Rattus norvegicus: one gene and its partners. The protein of the gene in region 1 interacts with the protein of each later gene in a pairwise test. Links are inferred from orthologs where the notes say so. Each region holds a gene or a part of one and is shown in the gene's direction. Other genes may lie near its edges.

Region 1 (4,864 bases):
AGTAATATCTAGCCCACACACTAGATGTAAGATGGAGATAATAAAAATACAGTAAGTTCCTTTCAAACACACATCATCAACTTCAGTCCCGATCACGTGGTCTCGCTGTTGTATTGCTCAATGTGGCGACCTTTCTTAGCTCCACATTCAGAGACAGTCATACTAACTGCTGCTATGGAAGCGTGACTGCATGTTAGGAATGGAACTGGTGAGCTTCTGGATGTGTATGTAGCCCACAGAGAATGGGGGAGGAATATGCGGTATATCCAAAGGGATGCCTTAAAGAGGGCCAGTGCAATCCAATCTAGTTCAAATGTCTTGTAAGCATTTCTTCCTATCAGTGTAAGGCACTGTTAACTTTATACCTGCACATCCCAAAGGCAAGAAAGTGCATTGTGGCAGTAGCAAACTAAAATAGGTTGAAATTGTTTTTTAATAAAAGGTTATCGATAAGCAGATTCAAGAAAAATCTGACCTCCTAGCTCCCCCCCCCCGGTCAAATTAAATCATTAAAACTTATTCCAAACTGATGCGTATAGAAAATTAAAGTTGATAAGACATTCTGGACAAGGTTCCCACAAACGTGATACTACAGTGTGAATTAATTTGCAGTATATTTCAACAAATCTAAGAAGTATTAGGTGTAGTTCCATTTATTTCAAATCCTTGGCATTACCGTGCTACACCATCTACAGGTAAGCTAAAACCTGGTAACTTTATCCCTGCGACCTAGACGGATAAAGGAGTGATTTTTGGAGAAAAAAAAAATTAAATGCCAGCTGAAATTTATGCCGGTTCACAGATATCTCTGCGGCAGGCTCGAGACGTGAGCTGCTGTGGACAAAATGTGGTAGCAAAGGCCTCAGTGCTTAGGTTTGCATTTCATTCCAGGAGCAGCGGGAAGGCGAGTGCCCGGTTTCAGGGACAAGGCCTTCGTTGGGAATCCATCAAAGAAGTGAGGCAAATAACAGAGTAAAGAGACTCAGGTTAGCAACAGTTTACCTTTTAGCGCCAGCAGGTGCTCCTGTTTGGGGGGATTCACTTCCATTTTGACCGGCACTTCTGACCTCAGCCTATACAGGCTGAAGTTTCACTGGGTCTGGAAGGAAAAGTGCCAGGCACAAGTCCCGGAAGATCGGCCTTCAAACGCACGCTCGACTTCTTTCTGCTCCTGAGAACTTAAATTCTCTTTTCATTAAGTCCTTTACGGCTCCAGTGAAATCTTTTTACCAAGGCCATTCCTTCGTTCAGAAATACACATATTTTCCACACAGGCTGACTTCAACGATCCACTTCGGGCTGACAATACGCGGCTTCCCAAAAGCTTACATTGCCCAGGGGGGGTGGGGGAGGGAGCTACTGTCGTGGCATGCTGGGATTTGTAGTACATTTTATACAAATTTAGCAGTGTACGCAGGGCGGTGGGGGAATGTGGTTCATTTACTCATTCTGACTCGTTTCAGTACTAGAGAAAAAATGTTCCAGGAATGGCATTTTCACCATAAAATTTTATTTATGTTCCATACTTTTAATAAAACACATTTTCTCCTCTCCATTACTCACATACGCCTTTATGGAAAAACAGCTCGCACGCGCAGACCGTACAGCCAATGACTGACGGAGAGAAAAGGTCAGAAGAGGCGGGACGACTCCCCGTCTATCCTGCGCATGCGTGAGGGCGGCACGCGCCGAGGCTTCTGGGTAGGTCGCTCAACCCCTCCTCTCAGTTAAAGGCTCTACTGCAGCTGTGCCGCTGCTCCTTCCAGGATGGCTGCCCTCGCTGTAAACAAGCCCGGAGCAGGAGTAGACAGTGGGCGGCAGGGCAGCCGGGGGACGGCTGTGGTGAAGGTGAGGGAACTTGCGTGCTCTGTTCTCCACCTGCGGCCTCCCTTCGGTTCGTCCTGGAGACCTGGCCGCGACTGTGCGGCCCAGGTTTGGCCGGGCTGGATGCGCGGCCTCTGGTGGGCGTTACAAGACTTTCCTGCCCCTCCGCGGTCCTTGCCCAGCGGAGCTGAAGTTGCCTGGTCTTCTAATTCAAGTGTTAACGTCGTCCGTGGGGCTGTTTGTGAAAAGCACCGCGTGGGCCTGTGAAAGTTGACCCGGACTGGGTCTTGCCCCTAGTCTTCTGTTTCTAGTGATGCCTCAAGAGGCATTAATTGACGTAGTTGTATTAAACACTCATTGCAATAGACAAGTACTATGGTAGATGTTTGAGTTCGCTAATAACTACTTAAAAGGTAGATGTTAATTCGCATTTTACGTGGGAGGAACCCTAGGTTTAAGTTAATACAGTGTGTGCTAAGGGCCCAGAGTTTACTGGTTGTCAACGTCTGCCTTCCAACATTGCACAGCTGTCCCTTGCTTCTGAATAGTAGAGTATGAAAACTTATGAAGTCCCCGACTACAGCACAATTGGGCTTTAACATTAGATGTATGGAGTACTGTCTCCTTAGAAGATTCTACCGAATATTTACAAGCTACATTTACTAAAAGTTAACTAGAAGTATGTGATGATCATTTCCCCCACCCACTGTAACGTAGATCTAAAAGGGGCATGTGGTTTAGGGAGTAACTTGGAAGATTATCTGTAGCCAAGAGATTAAACAACTCTTTCTGAGTGTGTTGATGTCAGGACATTTATTAAATCCCCTGAAGAAATTTTAAAGTACACTTGGATTTATTACAGTGAACCAAGTTTGATTGGACATTCTTTAATAGTAGATATCTGTCTGTCTGTCTGTCTGTCTCTCTCTCTCTCTAGCAAAGGTCTGTTTTTGAGAAATTTATGCCTAAAATTTATCAGTCGTTTTTTATTGGTGTGTTTGTTTTGAATCAGTTAACTTTTTATACTAATGAAATGTAGAGGAGCCCCCATTAAGCATATTTTGTGTTAGAGTTAATATTTTGCTTTTGCCAAATGGGAATACCTGCAGAATATTTTGTCATTCTTTCCCATAATTGGAATAGCATGTTATAATTCTCCTTAATACTTTTTCACTTTATCATATATTCTGCATGTATACATAAAAGATGTAATGGCTGTAGTTTTGGCATATGAATGTACCATAATGTATCTTTCAATTTAGTATTTATATGGATCGTTGCTTGTTTTTAATTATTTAATGATACAGATAGTACTTTAAGGAGTTACATTGATTTTGTCATATGTAGACTGGGGATGTGATTCAGTAGTAGACCATTTACCTGATATAGTCAGGGTCCTGAGATTTCCCAGCAGCAGAAACAGCAACAGCAACAAGGACGAAAACATTTTGATTTTGTCGTGCATGTATGATGTAGTTCCTTAAGAACTGCTAAATTGTGTCCATGGGTGCTATATTACTCAGTAAATTTTTTGTGTCAGGCAGTGGAATTTTTTTCCTGTACTGTAATTAGTGCCAAGCATTAACAGCTTTTTGAAAAACTATCTTCATGTCGTTATTCTCTGTAGAATGAGTTAGATTGAACTCTTAATACAAAGTTTTTTTATACATTTAGCAGATATTTAATTTGTCTCTTTTTCCTTCGAATTATACCACACTTAAGTTTCTTTTGAACTATTACCAGTACGTGAGGTAATTACAAATTACCAGTTTAATTACTGTGAAAGATGTTTGTATCTCAATTTCTAAGTCTAAATGTATTAGAAGATCAAGTTTAAAATTGCAATGGGTCTAATGAGATTTCCACTCTTTAAGTTTTCTATTTTTTTTTTTTATTTTGTGTTGCATGTTTGGTGGCCTGAATTGTGTTTCAGTGTTATTTTGTTGGGTTTTATTTGCATCAGCATGTAGGTGCTTTTGTATCTGGAGTGTACTGTTCTGCACTCTCGTTCTAATAGGGAAAGACAGGTTAGTCTATTAAAGTATTGAAGTATTTGGGTCAGACAAGCAGATAGATATTCAGGGTGCATGGAAAACCAGAGGATAATGTAATAATTGAAATTGGAGTGAGAGATTGGGAGACTAAGAGAGATGGGATTTTTAGGTATATGAATATAAAAACTTTAAAAAAGGAAACCAGTAGGTAAATGTTTAGATGTTTCCTCAGTGTTAATTAGAATAAAGAAGGGATCGAGAAACCACCAACCACAGAAGCAAGTGGTCCTGTGCTGGGATACACATGTAGTAGAGGGGACTGAGAGGTGTGGCAGTGAAGCAAGAGAATGGTAGTCAGTTGTAAAAGCACTGGAAATGCTATATTGTTATAATTACGTTTTGCAGACTATACATGAAATATTAGCCCATGGACCTGAGTGTCAGAGTGAGCCAGTTCTCGCAGCTTTTCTTCCTCACTATCTTTCAGTAAGTCATATACCTGTGATTACTTGTGTAAGAACAGGAATTGAAATTTAATTCTCAGCTAATTTTGTTTTTGCCTTTACATCATTTTGTGAAATCTAGAAGATACTTGAAATTCCTTGGAAACTGTCTTACAAGTTTTTTTATTGTTTAGAAAAGTGATTATCATCCCAATCCACATTTTAGATTGTTTTATTGAAATCAGTGGTAGTTTGGCTGGACACAGTGGCATCTCCTATAGTAACTTCTGGGAGGCAGAGGCAGGAACATTACTATAAGTTTGAGGCCAGCTTGGACTGAGGTCCATTCAGGGGTAGTCAGTGAAACGTCATTTTACAAGGGAATAAAACAGGGCCTAGAGAGATAATAAGCTATTGACAGCACTGAATGCTCTTTTGAAGAACTCGGGTTTGATTCCTAGTACTCCATGGTAACTAAGAACCATCTGTAACTCTAGTTCCAGGAAGTCTGATGCCCTTTCTTGACCTCTGTGGGCACTGCATTAGCATGATGCACCCACCACACATGCAGGCAAGACACCCATGCACAAAATAAAAATAAAT
Region 2 (3,342 bases), on another chromosome or scaffold:
CCCTCAAGTTGCTAGAATTACAGATGAGCACTGCCTTGCCTGGTCTTATTTCTTGTTTTGTTTTGTTTTGTTTTGTTTTGTTTTTTCAAGGTCTCAGTACATTATATAGTCTTGGCTGTCCTAGAACTCGTGTGTAAATCAGACTGTCCTTGAACTCACAGATCTGCCTACCTCTGCCTCACAAGTGCTGGAATTAGAGGCATACACCATTGCACCTAGCTTTGCTCCAGGAGCTTTAAAATACTTTGAGACACTTCCATAGTGATCAGGATAAAACACATTAGTGTATCCCACAATGCACATCGGCCTGTTGCAAGGACAAGGAAGAGGACAGCAGAGCAGCTGTGCTTGGAGCCCTTTGCTGGCATCATGCTGCTTTTGGAGAAGTTCAGCTAAGGAGAAGTCTTGGGTGCTGTGGATGTTTCCCTCTGCCAGGCTGGGTGATTCATATACTGAACCTACTCCTTCCAGGGCTTTCCTTCAGGGAATATGTCAGACCCTGGCTGGCCTGTCCCTAGCTCATATGCCATCGGAGGATCCCCAAAGGCGGTGGCCAAACCTCAGCCCAGGTAGGCTTTCCAGTCTTCAATCCGGAATGGGAGCTTGCCCTGTCTTTCAAACTACCATGCACCATATGTCCCTCAAGGGAACTCAGGTGCCCTTGGTTCACACCCAAAGAAGGAAGGGCCTGTCCGTGGGAGCTGAGTCCCTCTAGCACCTTGAACTGTTCTAGCCTCTTTGGACATGGGTATCCTAAGAGGAGGAGCCTGGGTGTTCCTGAGTCACATGAACTGGTGTCCAAGCAGGAGGAACTGTGGTCAGAAACAGTCTTGAGGCTGCCATCAACTCTGGCCCTTGGAGCCCTCCCCCCCCCCCCCCGAACCTGACAGTGTTTCTGCAGACTTACAATTTACTGCCAAGTTTCTGTTTGTGTCAGGCAATCATGGAGGAGGCTGGGGTGCCAGTGTGACCTCTTTTTTCCCTTTCCCTGCTCCAGCCTCTGCCCTCTGTAATGTTCATCCCTTCTGCCCGTTGTTACTGCCCGTTGTCAGCACAGCCCCTCCCTGTGGCTCAGTTTCTTCCTTCAGTGTACCAGAAGCAGGTTAGCTCTGTTACCCACTGTTATTCAGGAACATTTCAGCTTCCTGTTGGTAAACAGGAGCCCCCAAATTGGGCCCTGGAGTCAGTTGGTGGCCTGAGGCTGAGTGTCACTTGAGGAAACCTGAGGGCCAGATGGGCAGCGCCATCAGGTGTCTGGGGCCTGTGTAGCAGAACTGGGGCTCCCGAGTATAAAGCCAGCTGTGAACCAGAGCTGACGGTCCTATCCAGTCTGCACAGCCAGGCTGCACATCCTTGAGGAAATGCAGTGGCATGCCTCCTTTACTGTCTTGAGTGATCCTAGGGAGCAAATTAGTGTCAAATGACCAAGTGTTGAGAACGGGACAGTCCACAGAGTTAAATTTGACTATCAAGACAAACTGGGAAAGAATAATCCAGAGTCCTCAGAGGCACTGAAGAATGGTCAGGAATTCAGTATGAGCAGAGACAATGGGAAGGGCCAGGGGCCAGGTGAGGACAGGTGGTGCCCATTATTTGGGAGGGTCAAGGAGGGTTATGGCACCAGCCCTGGTGTGGCAGTCCATGGTGGCAGGGGTTGGAGCTAGGATATTCAGGGCGGGATGGGGTGGGGAGTGTTCAACACAAGGAACGCTGGATCATCCTGAGCTCTTAGGCCACCCCTTTCCTTCCCATTTCCTGACAGACCCCATGTGGGAACCTGGGCCCAGGAGCCCTACAGGATGCAGGACGCAACAGACACGGTGCGAGGCCTTGTGGTAGAGCTCTCCAGTCTCAAGTAAGGGCAACTCAAGTTACCAGAGGTTACAACATCGAGTAGGAACTGAGGTGGCATTCCAGGTGTGGGTGAGGGGGTAGTGTGGCCCCGGCCCAGGCTGTTTCTGTCTTGCCTCACTGCACCTGCCATTTACAACACACCTGTGAGGAGCCACCTGGCAGGTGTGGCTGAGACAGGGTCCTGTGCAGTGGCAGGGCACAGCTAGTTCCACCCTGTTTCTGTTTCTTCAACAGTCGACTGATTATGAGCACTCACCGGGACCTGGAAGCCTTCAAGCGCAGGAAAACCAAGTCTCTGCCTTACCTGACTAAGGGGTTAGGGAGCCTTGCTAGAGGGGATCAGGGCTGGAGGGACTTGTAAACTGCTGTAGCCTGTGGGGGTCAGCCTACCATAGCTTATAGGCAGGAGGCTGAGGGTGGCTACTCCCATGGGACAGGGTGCCTGAGCTTTAGGAAGTCATCTGACAGAGCATGGCCCTGCCCCAGATGCTCATCCAGGTTTGAGCACCCAGGCTCCTGAGCTGAGCTGCAGTTGTCTTTGTTTCTGGAGGGGAGCGTGCCCTCTGTTCTGTCTGTCCTTCCCCCATGCTTTCTGTGAGTTTTGGGAAGGCAGGGAATAAATGATGCAGTTGTGAGCCTGATCCGTAGCTGTGTGGAGACGTCCTGGTCCTTATGTCCTGCCCATACACCTCTCTAAACTCAACTGGCCTGCAGTTGCCTGCAAAGGCTACATGTAGGGCTAGCCAGAACCACTCCTGCTAGAGCAGGGCTGCCACAACACAGGGCAGGAGCTCCTCATAGCTCTAGAGAATGACGGTGTGTGGGGGTAACACATCTACACATAGGTTACAGGGCACAAAGCCTCCTTAGCTGTTACAGCCAAGGTCCCTATGCAGAGTGAGGTCCCTGTCTACTGCCTAGGAGTAAGCTCTGATCACCCGCCTCACCTCCCACATGCCTCTGGACACGGCAATGCTTAGCTGTGCAGGGGGTGGAGGGGATCCTATTTGTAGAAATACACACCTCGGTTGGCTTAGGCCTTCGTATCTCAGCCTCCTCCACCTAGGGGAACCCAGTGGAGGAGGCTAGGAGACAGGCTAGGTCTTGGCTGGAGGAACAGCTGTCCCTAACCCCACCTAGCCCATGCCCTGCTCCTGGGCTTAAGACTCAGGTTGGTGGTCTGGCTTTTGCAAGGAGCTGCTTTCCCTGTGCCACTCACAGGCTCTGGGCTACTAAGGAGCCCTCCTCCTGCTGCCTCCCTCCTCCCTGGCTCCCAGGCCAGGAGCAAGAATGCAGGCTGAGGGTAAAGCCTCAGGCCAGCTTAATGAACCCAGGAAGTACCTTGTTCAGCTTCCCCCAGGACAGTAGAACTGAAGGAGGCAGATGTGTAATGAGCCACAAAGTATAGCCCTATCCCCAGTTGAGCCGGCAGTGCCCTTTGTGGCAGCCTACAGCCCCCAAGATGGGAGATGGTGGTGGTATCTCTGG
Region 3 (3,386 bases), on another chromosome or scaffold:
CCATACCCTCAGCCTAGTTTGTTTAGTTTAACTGAGAAGAACTTGATCTAATACTGTATATCTTCATCCTCTCTGAGCAGTAAGAAATGGATATGGAATTCAGTTTCTACATCAAGAAACTGGGTCCTCATGTATTTAGAGTGGCGGTCCCCTCTTTTGCTAAATATGAAACTAGAGTTAAGGTGTGAGCAAGGAGTGGTGAACAGAACAGTGATGGTTGTGGGAGGGGCAGCTTGGAGGTGCCTGCGGCTCTTCGTCCACTCTTGTGAACACCAGGCAGTTGACTCTGTTGTCTTTGTTATGGGCCAGGTAGTTGAGAGGGACTTCTTGAAGGAGGTGGATAGAGAACAGGTCCTTTGCCAGGAGGACAATGACCCTTGGAAGGAATACAGCGAGGCTTTCTTCTTGCTGTCCCTATACCCCTTGAACAGGCCATGTGAGCAAAACTTCCACAGAGCAGCAGCACAGAGCAACTGGAACAGCCTCATCAGTGAAGGCCCTACAGAATCAGGAAGACTCAAAGAGGAGGCAGAAGGATTCAGAGAAGAAGCGGAAACACTCTCCTGACCGGTAGGAGCTGGTCCACTGGGCTTGCATGGTATGGGTGGCTCAAGCAGTCAGGGAAAACTTCCAAGGCAAAGCAGGGCATAGAAGCAACTGGGAACAGCAGTAGGGGTGGGTTTTACGGCATGGCTTTTGAAGATAGGCTGGCTGCAACATGGGTGTGACAAAAAGGTAAGCTACATTCTGGCTTTCTCCACAGACGGGATGGACCTGTGCCCAAGACTGAGAAAGCGGCGCCTAGAAACAAGCACTGGTTACACAGGGACCTACGTGTGCGGTTCATTGACAAAGTGCACAAGGGTGGCCGCTATTATAACACCAAGGTATGATTTCCACAACTGGAGACCCCTTCCTCACCCAGGACTGGACCCTTTAACTTTCTAACATCTTACTTCTATCTCTTCATCTCTCTAGATGACAATTGAAGATGTCCTGAGCCCAGGTACTTGTGTGTGTCGGACGGATGAAGGCCGAGTTCTAGAAGGTAAGTCTGAGCAGTACCTGGGATGTTCCTCTCTTAGAGAATGATAAAGAAATGGCCTATTTGAGGAGCTGGAGAGGTGGCTCAGTGGTTTAGAGCACTGGCTACTCTTCCAGAGGACTCAGGTTTAATTCCAAGTATCCACATGGCAGCTCATAACTGTCTGAAACTCCAGTTTCAGAGGCTCTGTTCTGACATCTGTGAACAGCAGGCACACACACGGTGTTACAGACATAATAACATCAAGCAAAACACTCATGCACATAAAAGAAATGAATCTAAAAAAGCTTAAGGAAAGGGTGCATTCTAGTTCCTGGGAGGCAGGGCCAACCTGGGCTGCAATGTAAAATCCTATTTTATTTTTTTTCTTTTCTTTTTTTTCGGAGCTGGGGACCGAACCCAGGGCCTAGCAAGCACTCTACCGCTGAGCTAAATCCCCAACCCCCTATTTTATTTTTTTAAAGATTATTTATTCTGTATAAGTATGCTGTAGCTATCTTCAGACACACCAGAAGAGGGCATCAGATCCCATTACAGATGGTTGTGAGTCACCATGTGGTTGCTGGGAATTGAACTCAGGACCTCTGGAAGGGCAGTCAGTGCTCTTAACCGCTGAGCCATCTCTCTAGCCCCCAAGATCTTATTTGAAAAAGAAAAGAAATGGAGGTTGGAGAGATTGCTCAGTGGTTAAGAGCACAGAGGTCCTGAGTTCAATTCCCAGCACCCACATGGTGGCTCACAACCATCTGTAATGGGATCTGATGCCCTCTCCTGGTGTGTCTGAAGATAGCGAAGTATAACCACATACGTAAAATAAGTCTTTAAAAAGAAAAGAAATGGAGAAAGAGTGGGGGTAGTACAAAAAAGAAAAGAAGAATCTCGGGCCAAGAGCTACGAACCTGGGCAGGGTTGAGGTTTTTGCTAGGCCCAGCATCCTCTTCCAGAGCAGATACTTCCTAGAGAGGGATAACCTAAACCCTATGTATTTTCCAGTTTGTGCTGTGCTTTGCCCTGGACTTATCTGTATTTTGATGCTAATTCCACTGACCCAAGGACAGCTGCCTAGTCATATTTTTACAAGTTTGTCCCTGTCAAAACTATTGCCTTTACGGGAAGAAGTGTACTGAAACCCAGGACATAGTTTCTGTAGGAAAATGTTCGTGTATGGTGGTTATTTCTATGAACTACTCCTTGGTTTTCTCACCTGTGAAATGGGTAGAGTGGGACTCCATCTATCAACAGTCTATAAGAGTAGCTTTAATAAATATTAGCAAAGGCCTCTCTGACAGGATCTGGCCAGCCTGGCCCTTGCTGTGGACTTCATTCCCCTCTTTTCTCATCTGTAGGTGTGAAAGAAGGCATGCTGGAGACCCTGGTTCCCAGGGGAGAGGGCCACCGCGTGATGGTGGTACTGGGACCACATGCTGGAAAGGTAAGTCCTATGTCTGAAAATGAGAGTCTGGAGATCACATCAGTGAGGATCTGGGCTGACCTCGCTCACTCTGCCCCATCTGTCCTCAGGTGGGACTTCTTCTGCGTCGGGACAGAGCACAGAGTCACGCTATGGTCCAGCTTGGGAGAGAGAATCAGGTGGTGGAGCTCCACTATGATGCCATCTGCCAGTACATGGGCCCCGGTGACTCAGATGAAGACTGACACATGGACCATTGCCCGTCACTCAGGCTGTCACTACTTTTGTTACAATTTATAACATGCCAGAGGAAGATGGGAAATAATTGTTTGAGATGCAAAGATGGGGATGTGACTAGATAGAACAGGCTATTTACCAAAATTTAGAGCATAATAAAAACCATTTTCAATGGTGAAAGGTTGAAATCAAAACCAGTATGTGAACTGTAAATTTGGGTGGGAACTGAGATAACAGAAGTAGAAATACTTCGTTTCTTAACCTCATTTCCCTGCTGAAGGTGCAGGGCAAGTTAGATTACCCACTCAATACATAGCTCACCCTTGGAACTTAAGAACTATGAAGTCTATCCCCAAACACTATCGAATCTGCAATGCCACATCTCAGAACAACTTCCTGAGTTTGGGTCTTGAATGGCCTTCAAAGGCCCATATCTTTTTTTTATAAGATTTATTGTATGTTGCTGTTGTTGTTGTTGTTGTTGTTGTTGTTGTTGCTTTATGAGAGAGAGAGAGAGAGAGAGAGAGAGAGAGAGAGAGAGAGACTGTGAATATAAATGAATGCTTTCAGAGACCATGAGTGTTGAGTTCCCCTAGAGTCGAAGTTATAGGCAATTGCAAGCTGCCTAGCATGGGTGCTAGGAACCAAACTGAGGTCCTTTGGAAGCGCAGTAAGCACTCTTAACCACTGAGC

The links.
Region 2: the proteins of Trim23 (region 1) and Brme1 interact in binary tests that used the Homo sapiens proteins (3 or more experiments, as listed by UniProt). The two-hybrid records come from large-scale screens. The link is inferred for Rattus norvegicus from reciprocal best matches to the Homo sapiens genes TRIM23 and BRME1.
Region 3: the proteins of Trim23 (region 1) and Gpkow interact in binary tests that used the Homo sapiens proteins (3 or more experiments, as listed by UniProt). The two-hybrid records come from large-scale screens. The link is inferred for Rattus norvegicus from reciprocal best matches to the Homo sapiens genes TRIM23 and GPKOW.

Annotation. Positions count from the first base shown.
Region 1 is NC_086020.1:37,034,515-37,039,378, forward strand, and holds the start of Trim23 (E3 ubiquitin-protein ligase TRIM23), read left to right. Parts: upstream 1-1,690; 5' UTR 1,691-1,767; coding exon 1,768-1,848; intron 1,849-4,223; coding exon 4,224-4,304; intron 4,305-4,864. Other genes in the region: Trappc13 (trafficking protein particle complex subunit 13), read right to left, coding at 1,003-1,048.
Region 2 is NC_086037.1:40,893,974-40,897,315, reverse strand, and holds the end of Brme1 (break repair meiotic recombinase recruitment factor 1), read left to right. Parts: intron 1-90; coding exon of another isoform or gene 91-153; exon of another isoform or gene 154-430; intron 431-471; coding exon 472-569; intron 570-997; exon of another isoform or gene 998-1,102; intron 1,103-1,762; coding exon 1,763-1,855; intron 1,856-2,088; coding exon 2,089-2,215; 3' UTR 2,216-2,495; downstream 2,496-3,342. UniProt on the Homo sapiens protein: Meiotic recombination factor component of recombination bridges involved in meiotic double-strand break repair.
Region 3 is NC_086039.1:17,465,315-17,468,700, reverse strand, and holds part of Gpkow (G-patch domain and KOW motifs-containing protein), read left to right. Parts: intron 1-431; coding exon 432-570; intron 571-763; coding exon 764-887; intron 888-978; coding exon 979-1,048; intron 1,049-2,391; coding exon 2,392-2,477; intron 2,478-2,566; coding exon 2,567-2,701; 3' UTR 2,702-3,386. UniProt on the Homo sapiens protein: RNA-binding protein involved in pre-mRNA splicing. As a component of the minor spliceosome, involved in the splicing of U12-type introns in pre-mRNAs.